4 linked regions of the Notamacropus eugenii genome follow. The protein of the gene in region 3 interacts with the protein of the main gene of each other region in a biochemical or structural test. Links are inferred from orthologs where the notes say so. Each region holds a gene or a part of one and is shown on either strand. Other genes may lie near its edges. The genes, in order: TLE3, UBE2M, XIAP and HTRA3.

What was found.
Region 1: of the proteins of XIAP (region 3) and TLE3, one has a biochemical effect on the other in vitro, tested with the Homo sapiens proteins (2 studies listed by BioGRID). The link is inferred for Notamacropus eugenii from reciprocal best matches to the Homo sapiens genes XIAP and TLE3.
Region 2: the proteins of XIAP (region 3) and UBE2M form a complex in vitro, tested with the Homo sapiens proteins (2 studies listed by BioGRID). The link is inferred for Notamacropus eugenii from reciprocal best matches to the Homo sapiens genes XIAP and UBE2M.
Region 4: of the proteins of XIAP (region 3) and HTRA3, one has a biochemical effect on the other in vitro, tested with the Homo sapiens proteins (3 studies listed by BioGRID and IntAct, with this or other methods). The link is inferred for Notamacropus eugenii from reciprocal best matches to the Homo sapiens genes XIAP and HTRA3.

Annotation. Positions count from the first base shown.
Region 1 is NC_092872.1:133,848,659-133,855,583, forward strand, and holds the start of TLE3 (transducin-like enhancer protein 3), read right to left. Parts: upstream 3,008-6,925; 5' UTR 1,799-3,007; coding exon 1,775-1,798; intron 1,130-1,774; coding exon 1,029-1,129; intron 451-1,028; coding exon 387-450; intron 1-386. UniProt on the Homo sapiens protein: Transcriptional corepressor that binds to a number of transcription factors. Inhibits the transcriptional activation mediated by CTNNB1 and TCF family members in Wnt signaling.
Region 2 is NC_092876.1:990,853-998,205, reverse strand, and holds UBE2M (NEDD8-conjugating enzyme Ubc12), read left to right. Parts: upstream 1-4,626; 5' UTR 4,627-4,894; coding exon 4,895-5,003; intron 5,004-5,302; coding exon 5,303-5,397; intron 5,398-5,564; coding exon 5,565-5,603; intron 5,604-5,681; coding exon 5,682-5,785; intron 5,786-6,172; coding exon 6,173-6,236; intron 6,237-6,343; coding exon 6,344-6,484; 3' UTR 6,485-6,840; downstream 6,841-7,353. Other genes in the region: uncharacterized protein, read right to left, coding at 1,732-1,924, 2,020-3,229, 3,775-3,943.
Region 3 is NC_092879.1:46,933,252-46,940,341, reverse strand, and holds the start of XIAP (E3 ubiquitin-protein ligase XIAP), read right to left. Parts: upstream 3,018-7,090; 5' UTR 2,910-3,017; intron 1-2,909.
Region 4 is NC_092877.1:56,221,564-56,229,035, forward strand, and holds the start of HTRA3 (serine protease HTRA3), read right to left. Parts: upstream 3,003-7,472; 5' UTR 2,389-3,002; coding exon 1,974-2,388; intron 1-1,973. UniProt on the Homo sapiens protein: Serine protease that cleaves beta-casein/CSN2 as well as several extracellular matrix (ECM) proteoglycans such as decorin/DCN, biglycan/BGN and fibronectin/FN1.

The sequences.
Region 1 (6,925 bases), on a different chromosome or scaffold from region 3:
AATAGACACTTGGAGAGAGGTCAGTGTATGGGACCAGTTCTCCTTTTGATTCCAGCCCCAACAATTGTGAGCTAAAGTGTCTCTTTTTATTACAGTAGCATCCCCCTTTAATGTAGATAGAAGGATTTTCCTGCTGAGCATCCTAGACAGAACCTAGGAACCCTGGAGTTAGAAGGATAAGAGGGAAAAACAGAGACTGAAACGTTGTTCTCAGTTCTTCACCAAATGTCCACCTTCCTTGCTCTCCCTCTCCACACACATCGTATTTTCCAAGTTTGGGCTCCGGTCTGACTTTACCTCTGTTGTCCACTCACCACCCTTGGTCCTCCCTCCTCCAAAACTCCCTAACTCCCAACTCTTGGGCCATTCTGTAGATCAGCTCTTACCATAACATAATGGCGCTGCATTTCTGTCTTCTCGTTGGCGAGCTTGTCGTACTCCACTTTGAGACTATAAAGATCAAAACCAGATAATTTTCAGAACGTACTCACAAGCAAAGAGTCTTTTAGGGAGGTGGGATTGGAGACTGGAGGGTAGAAAAGGTCCTAGTAATATATACAAGGCAAGAAAGAGGACTTTAAAAGTCACTGTTCTACCTGCCCAGAGCACTATACAATTTCCAGTTGGCATAGGAAAATCAACTTATCCACATTTACAGCCCCACCACCCTCAAGAAGGGTGGTCAACTTTCTCTGAGACCTAGGTTGGGGGAGGTCAGTAAAGAAAGTGGCGAAAGACCCTAAAATCAAAACCTGGCACGGGAGCAGGGAGCAATCTTCACCCTTGAACCCCTTTCAAAATTACCCCAAACTTCTCTGGGAATGAAGGGATGGTATTGAGAGTATAGACTGAAGTCTCCGGGTGACAAACAGTTAAACTGGGACCGCTTCGAATGGGGAAATGAAGGATTGCACCCCCAAGTCTTTTCTCCTCCGCGGGGATTTCTGAACCCCTAGGGAAACAGGGGAAGAGTGTGCTGAGGGACCCTGGGGATCTGCCTAGCTCCCAGCCTCCATCTCGCACCTTACCTGTGATACTGAGCTTGTAAGAACTGGAATTCGTCTTTGATTCGATCACAGGACTCAGCCACAGTAAATTTAAAACCTGGCTGCCCGGGTTGATGGGGAGCCTAGAGTCAGGGGAAGACAGACGTAGGGAGAGAGGAGTAAAGAGATCAGTGAAGGGATCCGGACAGGCAAAACAGCGACCATCTGCCCCCTAGTCCTGCCTCTCTCGATTACTTAGCCTTGGAGCAGCACCCCCCCCCCCGCCCCCCTCCAATCCGCGCGGCTGCTCCAGTCTATTCAACCCTCCAAACCAGATCCTCCCCTCAGACCCAAGTTTCTTAGCTACCGTGAGAAGAGGCACCCCAAAGCACTTCCCTCCATTACAGGGTTTCCATCCCAGCGGCATCCCATGGAAGGAATGGGAGGGGGAAAGCACTGTTTGTTTAGACGCAGAGGTGGGGGTGAGTGGGGGGACTGAAGGAGTGTATGTGTGAAAGCACTTCATCTTCCTACACCAGCCGCACCAAAGCGCACCAGAAGGCTTTAAACATCTCGGTCCGCCAGCCCGCCCCCGCCCCCCCCTTTCCTCCCTCTTTGTGTTAGAGTGCGCACACACGCACACACTCACACACACAAACACACACAAACACACACGCACGCACGCACACACACCATAAAGGTAACAAGCAAAATGGAGGTGCAAGATAAACAGCTTCATTTACCCTCCAATGATAGATGATTAAATAAATCTAGTTACAATTACTCACCGGATGTCTGCCTTGCGGATACATCGCAGGGAGGGGTCGTGATTCTGCGAGAGTAGGTGGAAGCACAGAGACCTGAACCCGCGGAGGTGAGGGAGAGGGGGAGCGGGGAAAGCCGGACCAGGGGGCGGCAGGGAAATTGAGCGGTTTCCCCCGCGCCCCCCCACCCCACTCTCGGAACAATATCCCAGGCTCAGGAACCAGACACAAGTAGAAACAAAGAGCCAAGGAAAAATTAAGGGGAAAAAAAGTCCTTCCAGAAAGCGAATGGGGAGGCCGGGGCCAAGCTTGCTGGGGGTGGGGAATGGGGGGGTCTCCTTGTCTTTGTCTAGCTAGGGCTCCGCCGCCAGCAGCCGGCCGGTTTCCCTCGAGTGCGAAGAGGGAGTCAGACTCGGGGGGTTCGTAGACATCCTTGTCCTCCCCGCGGATTCACCGGGGGAGGGTGCGGTGTCCGGCGTTGGAGTCCCGAGACCAGTGGATGCAGCTACTACTGACCTCCTCTACCCCCTCCTTCGAATCACCGCCGCCGGGCTGGGAGGGGGCCACGACCAGACAGCTCCACCAACCCGAGCGCTCACAAGCTCCCCTACGTAGCCGGGCTCCGCGCTGGCTCCGAAGAAAGCCCTCCCGGAGGAGAAAGGATGAATTAGGAAGGACCAAGGTGGCGAGCTGAGGCGGTGAGAGTGCCGAGGAGTGAGGACAGGAGCTCAGCTCAGGCCGTTTGACCACCCTCCCCCCACCCCCCTCGGAGAACCCAGCTGCTCCTCCGCGGTGGCTGTGGCTTCAATTCCCTTCCCGGAGCTGGAGAAAAGCCGCTTCTAAGTAGATTCGATTCAACTGCTTGGCATCCTAACTCCACCAGGCGCAGGAAGGAACTAGCCAGGGTCCACTCCAGGGAGAAATTGGCTCTCCTCAAAGCCAGAGAATGGCAAATCCCGAAGACAAGAAAGCCCTCTTGCTGCTGCCTCGGCGGACGGGCAAAGGGGAGACGCTCGAGAGGAAAGACCCAGCAAGACAAGAGAGCTCTGTGGCTTTCCACTCGGCCCCTCTCCTTTCCTCTTTCCTCTACTAACCCCCAAAACACACACTCACACACACGTACATACACTCACACCAAAAAAAAAAAAAGTGCCCCGGACCTTGCGGATACCACACACAGACAGAGGCTAGAGGGACAAGCACGAGGTCTGAACTGCCGCGAGAGCAGTTCCAAATAGGGACTGAAAAGTAACAAAATAATGTGGCAGCTTTGCCCGGCGCTGGCCAATGGGAGCGCCGAACCCCCACGTGGGGCGGCCGAACTCGGCCTGCGAATGGGTGCTTGCAGGGGCGACGTCACAATGCCCTCTTGTGTCTAAAACTATGCATGAAAAGTAGCAATCAGCCCCTACCCGCTGGTGACTTTCGCATGGGAGTGAAAAACAGCGCTCCTCAGATCAAGAATTAACCGAAAGACATATAATAAATAGATATATATTATGGTCCTGGGCTGCTAGGGTGTTTTTTTCCCTCCTCTTTTTTTTCCCACGATCCACTAGCAAATAATTATCTGGCGGGAGGGAGAAGGAAGAGAAATAACAAAAGAAAAAAAGACATCCTCTCTACAATTCTAAAAAAACCTGTGGCTTGTAATAATGTATCAGTTTATTCTGCAGCGGCGGCGAACGATTCCTCCCTCTAATCTCATTAGGTCTGCAAAGCAGTCCAATTAGATACTATAAAACAAACAGAATCGCTTTGTCACTTTTATGTTTTCAGTTCACAAGATTTAGTGCGGATAAAATGGTTGTTCCCAAAGTTGCTTCTCCCTCCACCCCCAATTTAAAGATGTGTTCAGAATAGCCAGGCGGCCCTTTCTTTTCCTCAACCTACTAACCCCCACCTCCGCCCCATTTTCTCTTTCATGCTCCAGTCTTTTCGCAAAATAAACACCCGCTTTGATGTGAGATGGGTAGTGAGAAGGTCTGAAGAACTCTTGGTTGGCTGCTAACAAAAAATGGAAACAACCCGGTTCCACCCGGACTACCTGTTTCACTCACATATCCCTGAACTCTGGTCTCCTTTCCAGTCTGAGCAGTCTTGGTCAAGTACTTGGGTAACCATCATTCAAGTTACACACTCGCCAAACATCATTTGAATATCCCTGCATTCTCACTACAAAGTAATGCTCACAGTAGCCTCTCTGGGATAGTAGCAGAGGGTTTTCCCCCCAGTTAGAAAAGCTATCCACTCTCACAGCATTTTATTAAGCCTATTAGAGAGGAGGACTAAATTTACTCCACACCATAGGATTAGAATGCTCTGAGGCAAAAACAAGATTGAGGGTCTGATAATGCACCTCCTAGTACAGGCTCCCGCTAAACTAACCTAGAGCGCTTTCTGGGTACACCCTAAGAGTAGGAGGATTCTGAGTTGTTGGAAAGACCAACCGATCTCCCGGGCTAGCTGGTTGCTGCCATAAGTCGGGGCGGGTGAGGGGAGAGAGAGAGAGAGGTGGAACGGGAAACAGTAAACCCATCACCGATAGTCTTTTATCACTATATCTCGGGGTTACTCCAGGCCGGATCTGGAGAGGAAAAAGAGAAGGCCTTTAGTGTGTGTGTGTAATTAAAAAGAAAAAAAAAAGAAAAGACACTGTCTTACCCCCACCCACCTCACCCTCCCCCCCCCCGCGCGCGCGCGCACACACACACACACACACACACACACACACACACACACACACACACACACTTCCCTCCCCCCACACACAAACCCTTCTTCTTCCTCCTTGTACAAAGGAACAAAAACCTGGATTCTCAAACATAGAACCATCAGGGTTGAGCAACCAATTATGGCCAGGTGAAAGCCAATAACTATTCTCTCAGTCTTTTCCCCAATCCTCTCCTCTCCACCCGTACCACCTCTTCTTTTATCATTTCTGTAAATCATCAATAAACCATGTCAGCTCCGGGCTAGTGGAGGAAAGAGCTGGCGGGCAGGCGGGCAAGCTAGCAAAAAGGATCTTCCCCAACATGTTGGCGAGGTGGTACAATTGGAGAGAAAGAAGAACCGGAGAGGACACGCGCGAGCGCAGTCGCGAGGTTATTTCCTCGGCCTGGATCTATATTTTCCTCTCATTAAGAGCGGAGATTGGCGCTTGCATTTTAATGAGGAGGATGCGATCTCTTTTCCAACGCTGCGAGTCCAGGGAGGGAGGGTGAAAAAGGAGTTACACGTGAGTGCCTCAGTTTCTTAAAGAGTTAACACTTGTCTCTCGATTACAACAAGGCCCTGCCAACACCACATTTTAAAATCTATTTATTTATTTACACCAATATGAAAATAGTGTATGGAGCTGAAAGAGTGAAGGGGAGAACCCGGTTCGGCAGATGCAAACATCTGGCTACAGCATCTATTAGACACAAAATGGCTCCTCTCTCTATCTTCTTCTCCTCCCCCCCTTTCTTCCCTCCCCCTTACGTCACGGGTGGGCTCACCCTCCCCTTTTCACCCCTCCCTTCCCTCGCCAGGTGCCCCACGTGGGATTCGCCGACTCCGCCCCCCGTCAAGGCTCCAATAACCAATCACGAAAAGGTGAGGTAGCTGCTAGTCGCCAATTGGTGCAGTCGGTGGGGACTGTCTTTCTCCAGCAGGGCTTGTCAGTCAAAACCACGCGGGGCGGGGAGCGCTGACAAATGCCTGGGCTTCTGAGCCTCCCGCTTGCAAATAGTGCTTGGAATGGCTGCTTAATTAGCTTTGAATGGCTTTTCCTTCCAGCTCAAACAATCTGTCACTACCATGTGGTATAAAGGAGCCATGCATAAAAAAGTAAGCAGAGGCTAAATATCAATTTGATTTTGTGTATCAAAGGAATATTTTATTTTTCTCCCTAGTAATGAAACGTATCAATTTAAATAATAAAAGGTAAAAAAAAAAATACACACATACAAAAAAAAAAAACCTCAGCTGTCCTCATCTCAACACACATGAAGCAGGTAGTTGCTTCAACCCATGAAAAAAGAACCTGACTCTCGTTTTTGTTGTCGTTGAGTCTGGAAAAGGAGGGGTTGGTTTGAGTAGGATGAGTTGGTGTGCTCACAGTGGAGCTAGGGCAAAAAAGACAGCATTGGGAAAGGGGTTAAATTAAAAGGTACCCTTTGAAGATGGTTATCAAAGTGAGTAGTTAAAGGTCTTGAAAAAAGGGGGGAACCCACGTTGGATTTCTATTTGGGACGAAAAGAAGGGGGACAGGGAGTGTAAGGGAAGCGGGAAGAAGTAATGCAAGTCTCACGTTTATTAAATATAATGCCTTCAAGATGCAGCGTCCCCTGGTTGACTTTTGCCCTCCCCTGGATGGGGGTGGGGAGAAAGACTGGTGTTGAAGGAATACCATGGAACAGCGCTGGGGCTGGTCTAGGCTGCACAGGTAGGTGGAGGAGAATTCTGGCCTAAAGAAAAACCGGCTTTGCGCTCTAGTCCCTGGTTCTTGATGAGGCCCATGCAGGGCTATCCCTCATTTTTCTGAAACCAGCTTCATCTTGTTATTGTTGGGTAAAACCACCTGAGAAGGGTCAAAAGTGTTAGATAGGGAGGTTTCCAAAGCTCTGACTTCAGATTACTACCTCAATCCGTTGCCCTAAACAACTCTTTCAAACCTGGGATTCCTGTCTTTAGGGACAAGTCATCTTCTATGCATAAAGGGGATTGGGGAAAAACTAAGGGTACAGAGAGAAGAGGTCAGGATCTCTTTTTAAACTTCACAAACCCACTTCTACCCCATACCACAAGGCAAGTTGAGCAAAAAAAAAAAATACATTTTTAACCTTGGTGTTTGAGAAAGGAAAAAGAAAACACACACACAATCCAAGGCGCTTGACAATTATTTAAAAAAAAAAAAGTTCAAACGTCTCTGTCTCCAGTTCTAATTGGAAACGTTTCAACTGTTTATGTTACAAGAAGTGTCAGGGTCATTTGCTACTGGAGAACTGACTTTTCATTGGCTGCCTAATTGAGTACCTTGGAGTCCACCCCACGTGGGAGAGGAATTCCTGGCTCACACGGGAGTCACCAGGGCAAGAAGGAAATCCAGGCCTGGATTAAAGGAGAGGCAAAAGGTTTTTTTTTTTTTTTCTTCCATGGGGGTGGGTGGGGGCTTGCCCCAGACTTGAACTC
Region 2 (7,353 bases), on a different chromosome or scaffold from region 3:
GTGTTCCTGGGGGGAGGAATAGACCAGTTAGAATGACCAGGACAGAACAGCACTCCCTCCACACACACCTCCTATACCCCTCTCCAAGGGAAGCAGCTGGCTCCAACCCAATGTGCCAGGCACCACCATCTATGGCTCAAGGCTCGGAGCTGTTACAAGCAGCCCTCATCTTTCTCTCATGTTTGCCTCACCACACTGATGGTGGGACACCCAGAGGGCTCTGCCTTAGAAATAGGGAGAATGAAGCAGAGAGCTGGGGGTCTTCTGCATGTCTCTGTGGGGGCCGCTGGCCTAAGTCTGGGGGTGACATCTTAAGGCTCCAGCCTTCTTTCTGGGCCTGGGTCTCCCTCTCCCACCCAGGCTGATGGGCACAGGAAGAGATTTAGCAGGGATGTTGTATCAGCTTTGTTCCCTCCTGCAACTCAGAGATGCCAGTTGCGACCCATCACACCAGGCTGCGAAGTTTTTCATTGTGTGTCTACCTTTTGAGGGGAGCAGTCCAACCTGGTGACTTCTCAAGTGTCTAAATCCTATCAACTCACTTGCTGTGCAGCCCTGCTCTGGAATGCCTGTTTCCTTATCTGTAAAATGAGGGCCTTGTCCTTTGGGACAACAGTGCACATTTACATGGTGCTGCTAAGGAAGGCTACTAAGCACTTACACGTGCTGTATCTCATTTGAGAGGAAGGTGATGTTATTAACTCCACTTTATAGACAAATAAACTGAGGTTGAGACAAGTGACTTGCTCATGGTAACACAGCTATACACATCTCCAGCACGCAGCATCCCATCCAATGGTCTATGAATCCAATGCGTCTTCCAGGTGAGAGTCCATTGTTGGAGGGTTAATACCGCCCCCACCCCCCAGGCAGGGACCTCTCCTCAGGTGGGAGGGGACTGTGGGCCAAGGTTGGCACCAACTGTCCTCACTGCACCTGCCCCAGCAGGCGCTGCCTGGGGCCTGCAGGAAGCCCAGTGCTACTGGAAGTTGGGCAGGAGACCCGAGGAGTCTGGGGTAAGCCCATTCCTAGCTCAGGGCTTCCTCAGTTTATTCCTGTGTCACCTGAACAGCCTGAACCAGGTAACCTCCACAGGTCTCTCAGTGCATTCCCCAATCCTCTTGTCTGTGTCTGCTGACCACCCTGACTACAGATGCACATTTCCCCCCATCTCCCCTGGGGTGTCCTGTAGCAGCCCAGAGCCCAGGGATGGAGAGGAGGCCCTGCCCAATCTCACCCCCACAGCCCAGTAGATAGGCCTCTCCATCCCTCAGGGCAGGAAAGATGCTTCAAAGGGCTGGCTGAATTCGATTCGATTCTATCAGTGAGAGGCCCTCCAGATACTCTCATGGCTCCCCTCTGCTGAGACCCTATGAGACGCTGAGGCCTAAAACCGTGAGCTCACTCTTTGGCCCCCCCTCTGCCTGCTGTCCCATCTCCTCCGACAGATCGCCCCTCCCCTTTGTCTCCAGTCTCTCCCTGGCCAGGGCTGTCCCTCCAGTCTAGCTGGCCCTCGGCTGCCACAGTGACCTCACCTCACTGGGAGCAGAGGCTCGTGTTTCCCTCCCGTGGCCCAAATACCCTCCATCCCCGCTTCAGACCAGGGGCCTCACCATCGGGTGGTGTCTTGCCAGCCTTGGCATCCCCCAGAAGTGAGTCCTCATTTTCCACACCCCCACTTTACTGATACTTCAGGGGAGCCAAAGCTCTCTCCCCTGGGTGGACTTGCTCTCAGGGAGACTGCAGGTGTTGGGGACGGGGGGCAGGAGAGCACAGCTGGAGATGCTTCTGGACGGGCAGAGCCCCTGCGGAGCTCACATGGGAAGCACCACTGGAACACGGCCAGAAGAGACAGCCAAAGCCGGAGGTGGAGCCCAGCTGGTGGCTGCCGCCACGAGGCCAGGGCCAAACCTGGACAGCAGGCCTAGGCACATGAGAGCAGGGGGTCGCTGCGGTTCTCCTCCCGTTCTCCCCCAAAACCCTGGGGTGCTGAAGAGGTGGGGATCCCCAGGGCCTCACCCCAAGAGATGCTGTCCTTCCTGTTGTGGCTGCAGGATGACCGTATCCAAGTCCCGTCCTTGACCATCATGCCCCCCTGAAAAGGCCTGGGGCTCTGCAAGGTCCGTGCTCACCGCAGACAGGGGCACAGACTGGATCACTCTGGAACTGTGGCCATCCTGTGACTCAGGGGAACCCAGGCCAGGATAAAGGGAGCAGGGGGTTGGGGTGGGACTGAAGCCAGAAGTAGGGGAGTTGGGAGGGATTTCTGGGGAGGAGAGTCTGGGCAGGATAGTGAACCCCAGCTCTCTTTCTCTGAAATCCTGGGCCCGGGGGGAGAACAGGAGCTCTGGAGAGGCCAGGACCATGTTCACTGGGAAGGCCAGTCCCCTGTGTCTGGAGGGGCTGAGCCTCAGAGAATGGAGCAAGCCCCGGCAGGACAGACTAGGGTCAATGGTCGAAGGGGCCCCCAGCAGTGGAGGAGCCTGGGCTTTCCCGCAGTGGGAGGAGGCAGAGCATGCCTTCAGAGGCGGGGAACTGGGCTGCAGGGAACCTGAAGGTCTGGGACTGGAGGTGTGGGGGGCTTTCTTGACTGGGTGGTATCTGGGTCTCAGGGAAGATGAGGCTCTGCCTTTGGAGGGGCTGGGACTGAAGGGGATGGGCTTCCCCTTCAGAGGCTGGACTTTTAGGCAGATAGAAGAGGACACCGTCCTGCAAGGAGAGGGGCTGGCCCTGGAGAGGGGGGGTCTCCCTTTCAGGGGATGAGATCTGGTCTGGGGGGAGCGGGAGGGACTCGGAGTACAGGGAGGAGGTGCCCCCATCGGGGAGCAGCTCTGGGGCCGGGGACAGCCGAGCACCCGGCATTGAGAGGGCATGGGGCTCTTCAGGAGAGGGGCTTGGGGTGCAGTGGAGACAGCGCCGAGGCGCCCCTGCGGAGGGGGGCCAGGGCCCTTCTGGAGATGGATGAGCCGGGGTCCCTGGGAGGCTGGAGGCAGAAGCAGCACCCTGCACTGCAGGGCGCTGGGGGCAAGGGGAAAAGGAGCCCCCGAAATGAGCAAGGGAGGGGGCCCTTTGCAGAGGGAGAGGCTGGGTCTGCAGCGGGAAGAGCCGAGGATGGGGGGCACGGCCTGGCACAGGAGCCGTAACGGCTTGGGGTAGCGCAGCTGCCCCCGCGGGTGGGGGTGCGCCATTGGCGCGTCCTTCAAGGCTCCCTCGGGCCGGCCACTGGCACCTAGGGGAGAGGGCGGACAGAGGGTGGGGGCCCTCCTCCAGGCCAGGCGCCCCTTCAGTGCTGACCCTCCAGCTCAAATGACACGTGAGGAAACTGAGGCAGACTGGTGACCCAGCTAGCAAGTGTCTGAGGCTGGATCTGAACTCAGGCTCAGGTGCGCCCCTCACGGTCGCGTGGCAGTCAATGAGCACTTATTAGGCACCTACAGTGTGCCAACCTGAGTGCACTGGGGTACGCAGGCAAAAAAGGACAGGGGTTTTGTCCGCCCCCTCCCCCACCGAAGCTGGCCAATGAGGTCTCAGTTCTCCTGGGTGAGACAGCCCCCCCCCCAAACGAGAAGAGACGCTCGAGAACTACTGAGGGGGTCGGCCGAAAGCAGCTCTTCCCCTCTCTCCAGTACAAACCCTGCAGGGCCCCATCCCCTCCCCATCACGTGCCCCCAGCCCCCGCTGGACTACGCTCCCCAGCAGGCGGCGCGCAGACTCCTTGCCCTTTCCCACAATGCTCAGCGATTCGGTTCTTAGGCGCAGGAGAAGCGGAGTTACCATGGGGATGAGGGCCCGCCTCCGCCTGCTCCCGGCTCGCGTCCTTCTCGCCTTCAGTCTCGGCCCCGGGACCAACCGCTTCTGAGGCGATGCGGTCTCCCTGGTGACGCCGGGACTCCCGCGCTCCCGCGGCGCCTCGCTGCCCCTCCTCCCGGCCTGCGGTTGTCATGGAGACCGAAAGCCCGGAAGCTGCAGCTCAGATTCGGTCATCCCCGCCTACTCCGCATTTCCGGGATATTCGTATAAGGCTAGCGCCACAGCCCCGCCCCCGGGCCTAGAGCCCGACGACTATTGGCACGCCCTCCGAGCCTTCTCCAATGGGCGGGCACGTAGGCGGGGCTGGCCTAAACTGACAGCTGCCAGCGCTGTCGCGGTCGATGTGTGCACTAAGAGCTCCCTGGAGACTAGTAACTCTCTTTCCTCCTCCCGTGGCCCCCCCCACCTCCGCCCTCCAAGAGCCTTCCTTCGCACCCCTCCCCCAGCCAGCTCGGTCGGCAGCCCGCAGGTCAATCTCCTCCGGAAGCGCCAGAAGCCCCCGCCCGGAAATGGCCGAGCGCGGCCCCGGACTGCGCGCCGCGTCTGCGCATGCGCGCCGCGGGGCCGACAGCGGCCAGAGCCGAAGCGGGGGAGGCGGCGGCGGAAATCACCGAAGCGTCGGGGCGCCCCGAGACCGTTGTCGAGGCCCTTCGCGACCGCCCAGGCTGAGGGCCTGGCCCAGGCCGAAGCCGGTTCGTAGCCTGTAAGCGAGAGAGAAAGAGGGACACAGAGAGACAGAGAAAGGGCAGCCGGGAACCCGATCTGGGACAGAGGAGGAGGAGAGGAGGGGGCGGGACCGAGAGCGGCCGCCGGGCGGGGGGCGGGGCGAAGCCGAAGCCCACTTCCGAAGGCACCCGAGCGGAGCCGAGCCCTTCCGGAGGGAGTCGAACACTTCCGAAGCGGACCGAGCGAGCTACGGGAGCCGAGACGGGCCGCGCAGCGCGGCGCTGAGCTGAGCAGCCGGGGCCGGAACGCGGAGGAGCCGGGCAGGGGCCGGAGGCGGGGGCTGGGGCGGGCAGGCGGCGGACAGTGGGCAGGGGCGGCCGGCCGGCCAGGGCCCCGAGGAGGCGGCGGCGGCGGCAGGATGATCAAGCTGTTCTCGCTGAAGCAGCAGAAGAAGGAGGAGGAGTCGGCGGGCGGCACCAAGGGCAGCAGCAAGAAGGCCTCCGCCGCGCAGCTCCGCATCCAGAAAGGTGCCCCGGGCGGAGGGGGGAGAGGGGGGAGAGGGCCGCCCCGCCCCCACCCCCACCTGCGACCAAGGGCTGCCCCCACCCCCCACCTGGGACCCAAGGCTGCCCCCACCCCCACCTGGTATCATCAACTGCCCCCACCCCCCACCTGGGACCAGGGGCTGCCCCCCCCCCCCCCCCCAACCGGGGCCATCTGCGGCCTCGTCCCCACCCCACCCCGGACCCGATCCTACCTGGACCAGCCCCTGACCTCAGGGTGTAGATGATGGTCCCCAGATAACTTGCCCTCCACTCTCCTCCAGACATTAATGAGCTCAACTTGCCTAAGACCTGCGAGATCGACTTTTCTGATCAGGACGACCTCCTCAACTTCAAGCTGGTCATCTGCCCGGATGAGGTGAGGGCCCCCTCCCCCCGCGTCGGTCATGTTGCCGCCATGGGCCTCTCCCGACTTCTGTCCTTCTCCAAGCCGTTCCCAGGGGCCTGGGGACTGTGTGCCGGGAGGTACCTGGAGCAGGCAGCCCCAATCAGCCTCCCCTCCTTTCCTTTCCCTTCTTTTTCCAGGGCTTCTACAAGGCTGGCAAGTTTGTGTTTAGTTTTAAGGTAAGTCTTTTGAAGGGGAGGGGCAGAAACTGCCCTGGGGGAGGGGCCGAGGGCCTCTGACTGCCTCTCTGTCCCCAGGTTGGCCAGGGTTACCCCCACGATCCACCCAAGGTGAAGTGTGAGACCATGGTTTATCACCCCAACATCGACCTTGAGGGCAATGTCTGCCTTAACATCCTCAGGTAAGTGGCCACCCCAACTTCCCCGGTGAGAACAAGGTCATTTCTGGCCTGCTGGCCCTTGAGGGGAACTTGTGAGGGTACAGTGGCCAAGACAGAGGACCAGAGGGTTACGGTCAGCCTGGTGCTGCTGGGGGTCAGCACTTTGGCAGTAGCCTTGAGGAGGAGATGGCCGGACAGGGCTCAGCAGAGAGCCATTGTGGAGAAGTGACCAAGCTGGAGACCAGGGAAGGGCACACAGATGTGGCTTGAACCTTCTTTTCCGATTTAGGACCCTGGGGGGAGGGTGGGCAGGATGGGATGAGGAGCACTGCCCGTGGGCCAGGAGGAGGTGGGGCTGCCCTGCTGAGGCCGAGCCCTTTGGGCTGGGGGGCGCTTCTCCTTCCACAGAGAGGACTGGAAACCAGTGCTAACGATAAACTCCATCATCTACGGGCTGCAGTATCTCTTCCTGGTGAGTGCGTGGGGGGGGCCGAGGGGAATGAGTGCGGGGGTGGAGGCCGTGGGGCGATGGGTGGGGGGGGTAGGGGGCCCCGGGCCTGACCGGATCCCGGCCCGCAGGAGCCCAACCCCGAGGATCCCCTGAACAAGGAGGCGGCCGAGGTCCTCCAGAACAACCGGCGCCTTTTCGAGCAGAACGTGCAGCGCTCCATGCGCGGCGGCTACATCGGCTCCACGTACTTTGAGCGCTGCCTCAAATAGGCGGGGGGCGGGCGGACGGACGGACAGCCCCGCCCCCCGAGCCGGCCCTCCCCCTCCTCCGGGCCCCCTCCCCCGGTCGGGGCGGGGGGCGGGGCGTCCGCGGCCCCCGGGCCACGTATTTATTGGGGGCCGGGGCCTCGCGCGGGAGTGGGGATGGGGAGGGGGCCTCCGGCCGCGCGCCGCCCCCAGTTCTTTTTTGGGTTTAGTTTTTTTAACCACGTGATTGATGGGCGCCGCCCTACCCCGCCCCCGTCGTCCGGATCAGAGAAGGGAAATGAATTGGATTGTCCCCGGACCCCGCCCCCACTCCCACTCGAGTTCGTGTCAGGTTATTAAAGGGGAATGTTGATGCAGTGCCTTTGCCTCCTGGCCTTCTGTCCGTGCGTGCGTCCCGTCTGTCCGTGCGGGGTTGGACCCGAACCTGCGGCCCCGGGGAAGGGGGGGCGGGGCTGGAGCGCCGGCCTGCACGCCGGCGCGCTCTGCGGGCCGTCCGACCCCGCGCGCCTGCGCACTACGGCTCTCGGCCCCGGGCGGGGCGCGTGCCAGTGACGTCACGGCGCCGGTATCCGGAAGCAGCGGCGGGTTGTGGGAGAAAGCAGGCGGCGAGCAGACCCCGGGCAGCGGCGGCGGCGGCGCGGGTGGGTGGCCCCGGAGTCCAGCGCGACCCGGGGGGCTTCCCGGAGGCGGCGGTTGTGCCTCCAGCTCGGGGCCGGTGAGTGAAGGCGCGCCCCCCCGCCCCCAGAGGACGCCGGCGTCCGGGCCTCAGCCCCCCTCCGACAGCCTCCTCGGGGGACCCCGCCTTCTGGTTCCCCCGATCTCGGAACGCAGCGCCCCCTCTAGGCCCCTCCTCCGGGACCCCGGCGTTCTGG
Region 3 (7,090 bases):
AAAACAATTCACACTTTCTAAAAATCAAATAAACACTTACTAATCACAAACTATGTGCCAGAGATACAACAAAAGTGAGGCAGACCTTGCCTTCAAACTTATATTCTATCACAACAAAACATGTTCAAAAATAAACAAATACTTATCTATACGAAAACAGAAGGAGGGAGGCATTAAGAACTAGGCGGACCTGGAAAAGCCTCTTGAACAAGGATTCCTGAAGAGAATTAGTCATATCAAATATGAAAAAATAAGGACTGTAAATGATGCTGGGTTTCCTAAAATTAAGTGATCGCTGGTGACCTGTGAGTATAATTTGAGTAAAGCTGTATGTAAGCCAGATTACAAAGGATTAAGGAATGAAGGACTAGTGAGCAAGTAGCAACAGCATTCTCAAAAAAGAACTTCAAGCTATTTTATACACTATTTATTCTTAACTCCATTTTCTAGGGAATACAGAGATTACAGTCCCCATTTGTCATTACTTTACTCATTCAGCACTGCCTGATTAAAGAAACAACAACTATTTACCTCACATCTCATAGCCAATAACCCTTCATTCATTAAATGGTACCAATTAATTCCTGGACAGAAGCCGCTAAAAGAGCAGTCTGATACAGTAATATGCAAGTTTAAGAAATGCACCGCATTTAAAAGCAAGGGCTGCCTGTCACTTTAACTTGCAATCTGCTCGATTCAACATGTATAAAGGCAAGCCCAATGTGGCAGCCTTGGAACCAGAAGCTTTAGGTGTGAGTTCCCAATATAGCATTCACTAGCTATATATGGGACATATAGGATCTTAGGCTAGTCTATTCACTTTTCTAATGTATAAAATGAAGACTAATACTTGCACCACTTTGATATTTTTTCTTCAACTGAAAAGAAACTATTTTAAAATGGCTTTTTAAAAAAATTAATGAGAAATAAGAAAGTTCTAGAACTAGGCTCCGTTTCCCACTCTGGCTCACATTTACCATATTGAATTCTCTCAACACGAACTACAGATGTTTCATTCCACATATTTAATCAGCTGCTAAGTACTGTCCATTCTATCCCCATAACATTTACAGAATCCTTTCCCTTCTCTCCACTCACATCTACACCACTCAAGTTCAGGCCCTCATCACCTCTGCCTGGATCATTCAATAGCTTTCTAATTGGGCTTTCTACCACAAGTGTCTCCTCTCGATTCATTCTCCACAAAACTATCAAAGTGATATTTCTAAAGCACAGATCTGTTTGGCCCTGTTAAGAGTTCTGCTAAATAAACTTCCTGGGTTCCCTATTACCTCATGGATCAAATACAAATTCCTGTTTGGTATTTAAAACTTTTAAGAACTGTCCTCCAACTTTATCAACTTGTTCTAAATCACTCTCCTTTACACTATAGTCTATACTATCTATCTATCTATCTAGTCTACAATCCAACCAAACTGAAACTTTTTGTTACTCCTCCTCACTCAACACAAACCATCTATTTTCTTCATGTTTTTCTATATACTGCTCTGCCTGCAACACACTCCCTCCCCATCTCAGCCTCTCAGAATCCAACATTTCCTTCAAAGAAAAGCTCAATCATCTCCTCTTACACATGGCCTTTCCTGAATCCCACCACCAGCTGCCAAGGAATTTTGTATATACTCACACAAATACTTGCCATCTCCCAAGATAGAATGGGAACTCCTTGAGGGAAGGCATTGTTTTGTATCCTCAGTATATAGCACAACGCCTGGTACATAGCAAATGTCTAATAAATGCTTGTTCATTTTTCCCTAATAAAAAGCCCCAAATATCCAGTTTCACACACAAACTTGGTGCTGTAGAAGTGATACTTTTTTAAAAACTTAGTCTGATATCTGTTTGAATACAAGGAAGTTATTTCCAAGTCCCGTTCCATTATCACTGTTTCCTTGATCCAGCAACAGCAAATATTAAACAAAAATGCTGTAGAGTAACAATCACCAGTCAGCTCCAAGTAAACCCATAACAAATACATCATTGTTTTGGCATTTTCTAGCTATGAAGTAACTATATTTGAATACAATGTCAGACAGCCTTAAAACTTGCTAGGAACGAATGAAGAAGGCTACATTATTGCTGTGGGTAGCGTGGGGGGGGGGGCGGAGAAAGAAGAGGCTCGAGAGAGGGGAGTAAGAAGGGTTTGCCCACTCGGTTTTTTGTGCTATTTTTAAAAGTTTTCTACCAAGTTCAAATTCATTTTTGTTCTACAAAGTTGGCTAGGAAAGGAGCTTTGGCAGCAGAGGGATGGATCATGGGCTCATTTCCTCTTAAGTGAGTCTTTTTTCCTTTCCGCTCTCTTCACTCCCCCTCCCCCCAATGTGGATACAACTATAACCTGACAGAAGTTGCAACTGCACTAGCCAGCCCCGTCAGGGAGAGTTAGATCACCACGACCCCTTCCTTCCTCCTCCTCCGTCTCCTTTCGATAAGACTAAGGGGAAAAACCAGCCCGCCCCCACGCCTGTCCCTGTCCCACGTTACGGAAGAGAGAGGAAAAGTCGAGTGAGGTCAGGGCAGTCCCCGAGCGCCGCCGCCCTCTTCCCTCCGCCTCCTCCTGCTGCTCGTGATCCTGGTCACAGTCAAGAGCAGGAGGAGAACAGAGAGCGAGCGAGAAAGAAAGGAAAGTCCGTGGAGAGGCAACGCACGCCAAACCCGCGGCCGACCGCGCTGGTACCCAGCCCCACCGGGGGGGACTACCTGAGGATGGGACCAAGAATTACTTGGGGGACCCCTCCAGTACTCAATTCCCCAGGCATGCCCGAAAGGACTGAGCCCGCTGAGGCTGAAAACACATCGACCCCACTTCCAGGAGGATTGGGGGATTCTCCCATACCTGCCTCTAACTTTGGGCCCCTCCCTCTCACCCTGCCCATCCACTCACTTACCTTTCTAACCAGCGAAAACCGCAGCTACCGCGCATGTGCAACCTGCGCCGCTTCCCAGAGAGGAGACCACGGCCCAGAGATAAAACGTCTGCGGGTCAGCTGAGAAAATGAAAGGCGGCGTCCGTAGCGTCAGGCGGCGTCCGTAGCGTCAGGCGGCGTCCGTAGCGTCAGGCGGCGTCCGTAGCGTCAGGTGGCGTGAGCTTTGGCGCATGCCCGATGACAGCCTGGTGGGCTACGTGGCAGCATGCCCAGGAAGACTCACTGGGCTTTACGCAAAGTTTTTTCCGGTTTTCGCTGGTTGGGGAAAGGATCAAGGAGAGAAGCAGGGAGAGTAAAGGAAGGGAAGGATGGAAAAATGGAGAAGGGCCTAAGGAAGAAAGGAGGGGGCGGAGTCGAGCTGAACCAAACAGAGGTAGAAGGGAGCGAACGCAGCACTCCAGGGCTTCCTATGAAAAGGGAACCTGGTGTTTTAACGACAGCCACAGGAGACAATGGAAAGCAGTTGGACCCTACACATAATACGGTATACTGAAATAAATTCTAAATAGATACACATCCCAAATATCACATTATTTTTCTTTAACAGTAAAGACAACAGTTCATCATTTCTTACAGCACAATAGTATTCCATTACATTCATATACCGTAATTTATTCAGCCATTCCCCAATTGGTGGGCATCCCCTTGACTTCCAGTTCTTGACCACCACAAAGAGAGCTGTTAATCAGTATTTTTGTACATGTGGGACCCTTTCCCATTTTTATGATATCTTGGGAATACAGTCCTAGTAGCGATATTGCTGAGTCAAAGGGTATGCACATTTTTGTAGCCCTTTGGGCATAGTTCCAAATTGCTCTCCAGAATGGTTGGATGCGCTCGCAGCTCCACCAACAATGAATTAATGTTCCAACTCTCCCACATCTTCTCCAACTTGTGTCATCTTCCTGTTTTGTCGTGTTAGCCAATCTGATAGGTGTGATGTGTTCTTTTGATTTGCATCTCTCTAATCAATAGTGATTTAGAGCATTTTTTCATATGATTATAGATATCTTTAATTTCTTTCTCTGAAAACTGCCTGTTCATATTCTTTGACCATTTATCAATTGGGGAATGACTTGTATGGTTATACATTTGAGTCAGTTCTCTATATATTCTAGAAATGAGGCCTTTATCCCTGAGCTTAGCCGTAAAAATTCTTTCCCAAATTACTACATCCCCCTGAATTTTGGTTGCATTGGGTTTGGTTGTGCAAAAACTTCTCAGTTTAATGTAATCAAAATTATCCATTTTGCATTTCATAATGCTTTCTATCTCTTCTTTAGTAAAAAATTCTTCCCTTCTCCATAAATCTGATAAATACACTATTCCTTGCTTCTCCAGTTTATTCATGGTATCAATCTTTATACCTAAATCATGTACCCATTTGGACTTTATTCTTGTGTACAGTGTCAGGCATGGGTCTATGCCTAATTTCCACCACACTGTTATCCAGTTTTCCCAGCAATTTTTGTCAAACTGTGTTCTTATCCCAGAAGCTAGGGTCCTTGGGTTTATCAAACAGGAGGTTGCTATATTCCTTGCCTACTGTGTCTTGAGTGCCAAGTCTATTCCACTTGTCTACCTCTCTGTTTCTTAGCCAATACCAAGTGGTTTTGATAATTGCTGCTTTATAGTACAATTTGAGGTCTGGTAGCACTAGGCCACCTTCCCTAGCATTTCTTTTCATTAGTCCCTTTGATATTCTGGACCTTTTGTTCTTCAAGATGAATTTTGATATTATTTTATCCAGCTCTAGAAAATAATTATCTGATAGTTTAATTGGTATGGCACTAAATAAGTAAATTAATTTAGGTAGAATTGTCATTTTTATTATATTAGCACGGCCTACCCATGAACAATTGATGTTTTTCCACTTACTTAAATCTGACTTTATTTGTGCAAAAAGTGTCTTGTAATTGTGTTCATATAATCCCTGGGTTTGTTTTGGCAGGTAAACTCCTAAGTATTTTATAGTGTCTACCCTAGCTTTAAATGGGATTTCTCTTTCTATTTCTTGCTGTTGGACTTCGTTGCTAATATATAGGAATGCAGAAGATTTGTGTGGGTTTATTTTGTAACCTGCAAGTTTGCCAAAGTTGTTTATTATTTCAAGTAGTTTTTTACTTGAATCTCTGGGATTGTCTAAGTAAATCATCATATCATCTGCAAAGAGTGATAACTTAGTTTCTTCTTTGGCTATTCTTATTCCTCAATATCTTTATCTTGTCTAATTGCTACAGCTAACATTTCTAGTACCATATTGAATAATAGTGGTGATAATGGACATCCTTGTTTCACCCCTGATCTTATTGGGAATGCATCTAGCTTATCCCCATTGCATATAATGCTTGCTGAAGGTTTTAGATAGATACTGCTTATTATTTTATGAAAAGTTCCCTTTATTCCTATGTTCTCCAGTGTTGTTAATAGGAATGGGTGTTGTATTTTGTCAAAAGCTTTTTCTGCATCTATTGAGATAATCATGTGGTTTTTGATAGTTTTGTTGTTGATATTGTGTGGGATGGCTCAGGTCCCTACATAAATCAATTACTCAGAGGCCTCTCAAAGTGATGACAGAAAAGTGATTTAGTCGATTCTCGAGAAGCGGGGCTTACCTGTAGGAGTAGGAAAGCCGAAGACAAAGAACAGGACAGTGATTTATATAGACCCTAACGCAAGTCCCTCCTCCCCCCACTGACCATTATCCTCATTAGCTGAGAATATGGTCTTACATTCTAGACACGAAATCTAACCAATCCCTTTTGAAATGAAGACATCGAGGAATTATGTAAGTTTTGTCCAATCATTGAGACCCTAATACACTACACAGTTTTATATCCTTATATGGAACTATTCTATTCTAAAAATATTGTAACCTTGAGCCTTTAGGCCTTACCTCACCCCTGGGAGAAAAATTACAATCTGAGGAGTCTTCACTAAGTCTATCCCACTCAATATGATCAATAATGCTAATAGTTTTCCTAATATTGAACCAGCCCTCCATTCCTGGTATGAATCCTACCTGATTATAATGTATTATTCTCGTGATAAGATGCTGTATTCGTTTTGCTGAAATCTTATTTAAAATTTTTGCATCTATATTCATTAGAGGAATTGGTCTATAATTCTCTTTCTCTGTTTTGTCTCTTCCTGATTTAGGTACCAGAATCATATTTGTATCATAAAAAGAATTTGGTAGGATTCCTTCTTCACCAATTTTCCCAAATAGTCTATATAGTTTTGGAATTATTTGTTCTTTAAACGTTTGATAGAATTCACTTGTAAATCCATCTGACCCTGGAGATTTTTTCCTAGGAAGTTCATTGATAGTTTATTCAATTTATTTTTCTGAGATGGGGTTATTTAAGTATTCAACTTCTTCTTCTGTTAATCTGGGCAATTTATATTTTTTTAAATAGTCATTGTCAAATTTATGGGCATACAGTTGGGCAATGTAATCTCTAATTATTGTTTTAATTTCCTCCTCATTAGAGATGAGTTCACCTTTTTCATTTTTGATATTGGTAATTTGATTTTCTTTTTTTTAATCAAATTGACCAAAGGTTTATCAATTTTATTGGTTTTTTTTCATAAAACCAAGTCTTAGTTTTATTTATTAGTTCAATAGATTTCTTAATTTCAATTTTATTGATCTCTCCTTTGGTTTTCAGTATTTCTAATTTGGTATTTACTTGGGAATTTTCAATTTGTTCTTTTACAAGCTTTTTCAGCTCCTTGCCCAGTTTGTTGATCTCCTCTTTCTCTCTTTTATTCAGGTAGGCATTCAATGATATAAAACTTCCCTTAAGAACTGCTTTTGCAGTATCCCATAAGTTTTGGTAGGTTGGCTCATTATTGTCATTCTCTTGAATAAAGTTCTTGATTGTTGTTGGGATTGGAAGCTCAATTCCATGTGGACAGTCTCGGGCGGGTAAAGGTGGGAGCTTCTAAATCTTAGAGCTCTCACGAGACCCCCCCAGGAAACGGCAGGGAATCGAGGTGAACCGAGCTATCTCGAGTAATTCCGCCTCTTCCCGTAAGAAACGTGATGGGAGAGAGATCTCCCCGCCCTCGAGATTGTCCCGGATCTGGGCACACCTAGTTACCTAACAGCACGGTATTCAGATGCAAACTATGCGGCT
Region 4 (7,472 bases), on a different chromosome or scaffold from region 3:
TCAAACTCCATTGTATAGGATTCAAGATGTGCCAAATTGCATACTTGATCGAGTCATGTTATAAGAAGGTTCTTGTGTCCTAGAAATGGCATTAGATAGACCTGAGTTCTAAACACCAACTCTGGAGTCCTGGGTCAGTATTTTGAAAAAGTCATTTCACCAATCCAACCATCTGTTTTTCTCCTCTGCAAAGTGGAGAAAATATTCCTTGTAATACCTACTTCTTAGGGTTTTTGTGAAGAACAACTGAGATTATGGATGAAATTGAATTGTAAAGTGTGATATTGTGAGTTGTTATAATCCTTGTAAGGATATTGTGATCATTTTGTATATGATGATATTTTAAAGACATTTCTTATTGACTATGGAACTGGAACCATCAATTCACTTTGGTCATTGTTAAGAACATCTAATGAACCATCAGAGAAAAAAGTATAACCCTTTCATGTTACAGGCAAAACTAATATTTAGAAAGTTTGTTTTAGGTCACATAGCAAATTAATGCTAGAGCTAAGATTAGAACTCAGTGTTTTTGATTCCCATTGAATCATATGGCATTGTGTGACCTTGGGTAAGTCCCTTCATTTCTTCAAGCCTTCGTTTCCTTATCTATAAAATGAGATGTCATCTCTAGAGAAGAGAACCTCTGAGATGCCTCCCAGCTATAACTCTATAATCTTATGTTCCTATAGTCCTTTGTTAAGCACTTCTTAGGCTGTTGGACTTGGGAGATCCAGGTTAACTATCACTGGGTCCTCAACTTTCTTCCCATTTTTGGACTCTGGTCCATTCCCCTTTGTGGTAAGCTTCCTAATCAGAGCACATTTGTACATTGGGAAGCAGCATTGCAAATATCCCCTGACAAGGAAGGAGGTGACATTTTTCCAATGCCTACTTTCCTACTAACTCTCTGGGGTCTAAAGTATGACTAGGAGTTCTACCAGTGGAGATGTGTGTATTGGGGTTACTTCCCCTCTTTGGGGCTCAGTTTCCTCATCTTTAAAGGGATGATCTCTAAGGTCCCTCCTAGCTCTATTGTCTTATGGTTCACATTCTAAGTCTACCTCGGACATTCTCTATTTTAAAGTCTCTTTTCGAGTTATCTCAAAGTATCATGAGCAGCCTGGAGAGGCTGTAGCTTTCCCCTTACTAGGAGCCTTCAAACAAAGATTACATGATTGTTTCTTGGGAGATGTAGTAAAAGGGGCTTATGGTTGAAGAATGGGTTGGACTCCATATTCTTTGAGAGTCTTTCCAAGTCTGAAACTTCTGTGATTCTTTGGTGTCAGCTTTGATATTCTAAGCCTTAAAGTTCTTCCCAATTCAGATACTTTAGGTTCTAAAATATAAAGTTGCTTCCAGCTCTTCTATTTTGTCTTCTAAATTCTAAGTTCTGTTCTAACTATGCCATTTTATGACTTCTCTCACATCTGACACTTGAAAATTCTAAGCTCGTTTCCAGAACTGATCCATGTCAATCAATCAATAATCAATCAAGAAACATTTAGCAAGTGCCTACTATGTGCCAGGCACTGTGCTAAGGGCTTTGGGGATACAAAAAGAAGCAAAAGGCAGTCCCTGCTCTCGAGAGGTCGCAATCTAATGGGGGTGAGACAACAAGCCAACAGATAGATACAAAGATGTTATATACAGGATGAATAGGAAATAATCAGAGAGGGAAAGTATTCGAATTAAGAGTGGTTGGGAAAAGCTTCCTGTGGAAGATGGAATTTTAGCTGGGACTTTAAAAAAAGCCAGAGGTCAGGAGGTAGAGAATTGAAACAAAGGCATTCTAGGCTTGGGAGAGAGCCAGAGACAATGCCCGGGGCAGAATTCTCTTGGGAGCTCTCTAACTTTCCGACTTCCAAGGCCCCTTCGAGCTGTGCCACGCCACGCGCCAGCTCTCTCAGGCTAGACCTTTCGGATTCTTGACTTGCCCCCCGGCTGCGCACAGTGGGCCCGCGCTCCCTTACCCGATTCGCAGGCGCCCTTCTGGATCTGAATGACAGCGGGCAGCCCCTGCTGAAGGGCTTTGCGGCTGGCAGCCTTCAGCCGGCACACGTTGTCGTAGGTTCGCCCGTCGCTGCCGCACACCTGGTAGGTCAGCTTGCACTGGCAGACTCCCTTGGCGAAGCGCTTGCCCGCCGGGTGGCCACACTCCAAGCTGTCTCCGCACGGGGGGTCGTCCTTTCTGCCGCACGCATCGCCCTCGGCGGCCGCGCACACCAGGCAGCAGTTACAGCTGTCGGGCACGTAGCCTCCGGGGCAGCTGGGGCTGGGGCACTTGGAGACATCGCAGCGCGGTGGACATGCCAGGGGCTCTGCCCGACAGGGGCGCAGCAGCGCCAGCAGCCCCAGGGTGCACAGCAGCCAGGTGCTTCGAAGCATGGCCACCTTTCTCCACTTAGTCTCAGGGCTCAGATGCTGCAGCTGCAAAGGCAGACGCGTGCTGGGACAGCTGACAAACAAAGGCAGACGCGCCTGTGGTACCGGCCGAAGGAGCGCGGACGGCCACAGCCGGGCAAATGGGACGTGTGGCTAAAAGTAGAGGAAGCCGTACCAGAGGAGCTCCGGAGGGCTCTGGGGCCCAGAGCGTACCGAGGACTAGCCGCGGGGGGCTGGGAAGACGTGGGTGGGAGGAGGCAGGCTCCAGACACACTGAACTGGGTGGATCAAGTGAGACCAGGACTGGAGAGGTTTCCTGGGGCATGCACAATGAGCCGAGGGTCCCTTGGGCGTCGTGCTAGGTGAAGGCAGCGGCTTCTACCCTTGCTTTGCTGGGAGGAGAGCGCGGAGCCAGATTTTAAAGCCGAGCCAGGCATTCAATGCTCCTCCCCCAATACACACCCTAGCGAAGAAAGAGGGAGGGGGTTGTGGGAGTAGAGTGGAGAGGACTCCTCAAGTCTGGCTGCCGAGTTTTGACGCGGCAGCCAGGGATTATCCCGGGAGCTATAGTCTTGCCACAGGAGGAGGCTGGGTTGCAGGAGCCAGAGCTCAGGCGCAAAGAGGTATGTATGTGGGCTGTGCCTTAGGGGCAGCTGCAGCTGTCTAGGAGGAGGCGTCTGGGGCCAGCTGTGCGCCCAGCCTCCGAGCCAGACCCCACCTCCCACCAGCCTCCGCGCCAGACCCCACCTCCTCAGGGAACCAAATCCAAGCACCTCTTCCCCTCACTCCAGCGCCTAATCTTTCTCCTCCTCTTCTGTCTCCACACTCCGAACTACTTTCCTTTACCTTTTGCTCCCTCCTCTTCCACTTCCTTTGTCGACCTTCAGCTTTGCTTTCCACCGCCCTCTTTTCCCTCTCTCTGTAGCCCTACTGTTCATCTTCCCTCTCCTTTCCCCCTCTATTAATAAAAAATAAAATTTTAATTGGAACACAAATGCATTGTTGGTGAAGTTGTGAACTGATCCAACCATTCTGGAGAGCAATTTGGAACTATGCCCAAAGGGATATCAAACTGTGCATACTCTTTGATCCAGCAATGCCACTTCTAGGCCTGTATCCCAAAGAGATCGTAAAAATGGGAAACCGGCTTGCAGGTACAAAAATATTTATAGCAGCTCTTTTTGTGGTAGCAAGGAATTGGAAACTGAGCAGATGCCCATCAATTGGGGAATTGGCTGAACAGGGTGTGATGTATGAATGTAATGGAGTTCTGTTGTTCTACCAGAAATGATGAGCAGGAGGATTTCAGAAAAACCTGGAAAGACTTAACATGAACTGTTGCTGATTAAAGTGAGCAGGACCAGGAGAACATTGCACACAATAACAGCAACATTTGTGATGATCCACTTTATAGACTTTGCTCTTCTCAGAGATGGGGAACTTGTGGCCTCAAAGCCATATCTGGCCTTCTAGGTCCTTGGGTGCAGCCTTTTGACTGAGTTCAAGTTTTACAGAACAAATTCTTTTATTAAGGGAATTTATTCTGTAGTTTGGATTCAAAGGGCCACACTTGAGGATCTACAGGGCCACATGTGGCCTCCAGGCCACAGGTTCCCCACCCCTGTTACTAAGACAGTTCCAAAAGACTCATGATGGAAAATGCTATCCACATCCATAGAAAGAACGGTGGAGTCGGAATGCAGATCAAAGCATACTATTTTTTTCTTGCTCTTTTCTCTTTCTTGCGTTTTGCCTTTTGTTTCTGATTCTTCTTCACAACATGACTAATGTACAAATATGTTTAATATAATTGTACATGTATAGCCTATATCAGATTACATGCCAGCTTGGGAAGATGGGGAGGGAGAGGGAAATTTTAGAACTCAAAAATCTTATAAAAGTGAATGTTGAAATAAATTTTAAAAAACCAAAACTTTTTAAAGTACCTACTATGTGCCAGGCATTATACTAAATGTTGGGGATACAAAAAAGAGGCCAGACAGTCCCTGCCCTCAAGAAGCTTACAGGCTAATAGCTAATAATTCCTGATTAGAGAGATTCCTGTTCAGATATGGGTTAGACCAGGGGTGGGGAACCTGTGGACTCAAGGCCACATGTGACCCTCTATGTCCTCAAGTGTGGCCCTTTGACTGAATCCAAACTTCACAGAACAAATCCCTTAATAAAAGGATAGTTCTGTAAAACTTGGACTCAGTTAAAAGTCTATACCTAGGGACCTAGAAGGCCACATGTGGCCTGGAGGCGAGAGGTTTCCCACCCCTGGGTTAAACTATACAGTGACTGAAGTCTCTAGTCTATGAATCTGAATTTCTTTCTCAATACCTGAAACTCCTTTAAAAAAGAACAAAATCTTTCTTTCCATGGATACCTTCACATGTGGCTTAGGGTCAGGTCATACTATCTTGTATAAATAGCTTCATTATACCATTAAATTGAGTCAACATTAATTTTATTTGGTGAGAATGGAGAATGTTTCACAAGGCTCCTTCTCAATAACTAAAAATACTCTGTGGTGTTGCAAAACCAAAGTTGGCAACTATTGTCTTAGCAGCATGAAAAGTGTGAAATATGTCCAAAGGAAAAGAACAGATGGGGTGATTGGTGCTAATGCCTCATCTTTAGTTCCACACAGAATCAGAATGGTCTTTGGGTTCCTGGTATCTTCTCCTCCTATCTAGCATTTTCCTGGAGAGTCTATTTTCCTGTGTATGGGGATAATACTATTTATACTTTATGATCATGTTTGTCGCAAGGACAGCCCTATAGACTTGAAATTATTAGAGTTTATATGGGTTTAAATGAAAAGTCTTTTGGTGGTTGTCTTTGGGGGCACACACTGAGCTAGAAGAGATCTTTATCTCCTCTCCACTCCCTGAAATTTACAGATAAGAAAAATGGTGTTCAGAGAGGTAAATAATTTACTCAAAATTACTTTTCAAGTTAATGGCAGAGCTTAGATTATAGCCCAGTCCAGTGCTCTTTCCATATTCTGCCCACTGTGACTATATTGACACCTAGAAAGACAAAACAAGGAAAACAAATACTAAAATATAAAAGCAAATTAATGTTTGTAAATGGGGTGGAGCAAGGGGAAGAATTCTCAGCATAGTACAAAAATTTAAAACATCCTCATAATTTTTTCCTTTTACTTTTATCAATAACTTTTTTTTATTCATTTTCATTTTTGAATGAATGTCCCTCCCTTGCCTCAAAGAACTATCCCTAGAAACAAAAAATAAAAAGTGGCAGGGACAAGATTCAAACTCAGATTCCAAAGCCAGTTCTCCTTTCACTGAATTATTCTGTTAAAAGAGTGATGAAGGCTTGAAAGAAGATAAAGATTTTCGAAGGTGGAGATGAGGATAGAGTGCATCCCAGGCACAGGGGACTTGTATAAAAGCATAAGAGCCTGGCAGACAGTAGAATGTAGGGAGGAGAGCAGTATGATATGCAGTTGGAAAGATGTTAGGGAGAGAGATGTATAGAGGGCTTTAAGTACCAAACTCTAAAGACTCTAAGTTAAATACTTCAGACAAAGGAGGGCCATTCAAAGTTTTTAGCAGGAAAATGATGGCACTTTGCATGCAATTCATATTTACTTATTTTCATACATACCAAGTCACATACTTGGTCTACATTTCACATTTATCTTTACGTGTATATTTTGTATCCCACTATCCCTTCACCTAGTACAATATAAACTAGAGGGGCAAACACTGTGTGCAATGGTTAACCCAATGTCTGCAATCCAGATAATTGAGGGAGAGAATATTTTTTGAGATTTTGGGTGTATGTGTATTTTAAATTGGCTTGAATTACTCACATTTTTAATAACTTCACTTAATCTCATTACCTCAGTTTATTCATCTATAAAATGGGGATAATAATTCCTGCCTGGCCCACTTCACAAGGTTATCCTGAGGAAAGTGCTTTGTAGAGGTCAAAGAGTCTAGAAATGTGAGTTCTTATTGTTGTTACTGTGAGGAGCACATGAAATAATGAATGCAATCCAAAAAGGATGTATGGTTATTCATTTATATTTTGTTGTTGTTGTTATCTGGTCTCCCTACTTCTAATCTCTCCCCTCTCCAATACATTTTTCACATAGCTGCCAAGATGACATTCAAAACCATACATTTGGCCATATATTCTCTTATTCCAGAGAAATAATACTATGCCCGAAGAAAAGGATGTTGCAAGTTACTGTTGTTTGGTCACTAGCCACGTCTCACTCTTTGTGACCCCATTTGGTGTTTTCTTGGCAAATATCCTGCAGCGGTTTGCCATTTCCTTCTGCAACACCTTTTACAGATGAGGAAACTGAGGCAGACAGGGTTAAGCAACTTGCCCAGAGTTCCACAGCTAGTAAGTGTCTGAGGCTGGATTTGAACTCAGGAAGATGACAGGCACTCTGTGCACTATGGCGCCACCTAGCTGCCCTTGCAAATTATAATAGCAACATTAAAAACCAAGTCAGTATATTTAATTACATCTGACCCCTGCTTTCATGTCTGCCTATCGAAATCCTACCCATCCTTCAAAGCTCAGTCCAATACCACCTCTTCCAAGAAGCTGTAATTCCCCTCCCGTGGGGTCTCTTGAGTTTGATCTTTATTGTGCTGAATGTTTATTAAGTTGAATTTTAGAGATGATGACTAAAATCAGCTCTAAATTAAATTAACTAATGGTTAAAATAAATAAACTAATAAGAGGGAAATCTAGCCTACACCTATGCCTTTATCAATATGAAGAATTTTAGAGGTACATGGAAAGATATATATGAAATAAGAAGAACCAGGGAAGTAATATAAGTGATAACTACAGTGTTATAATTGGAAACAATAAAAACTAAACTAAATGCTGTGTAATTACAAGGGTGAAGCCTGTCCTCCCCCAAAAGTAAAGAGAATTTGTATCTTCTATTGGCATGGAACATTTCATATATTTTTTCAGGTGTGGTTGATGTATTTATTAGTAAGTTTTGCTGAGTAACTTTTTTTCCTCTCTTCATTTTTTGTTCTTTCTTGTAATGAATGATTCTCTGGGTCAAGGAAGAAAAGAAACAC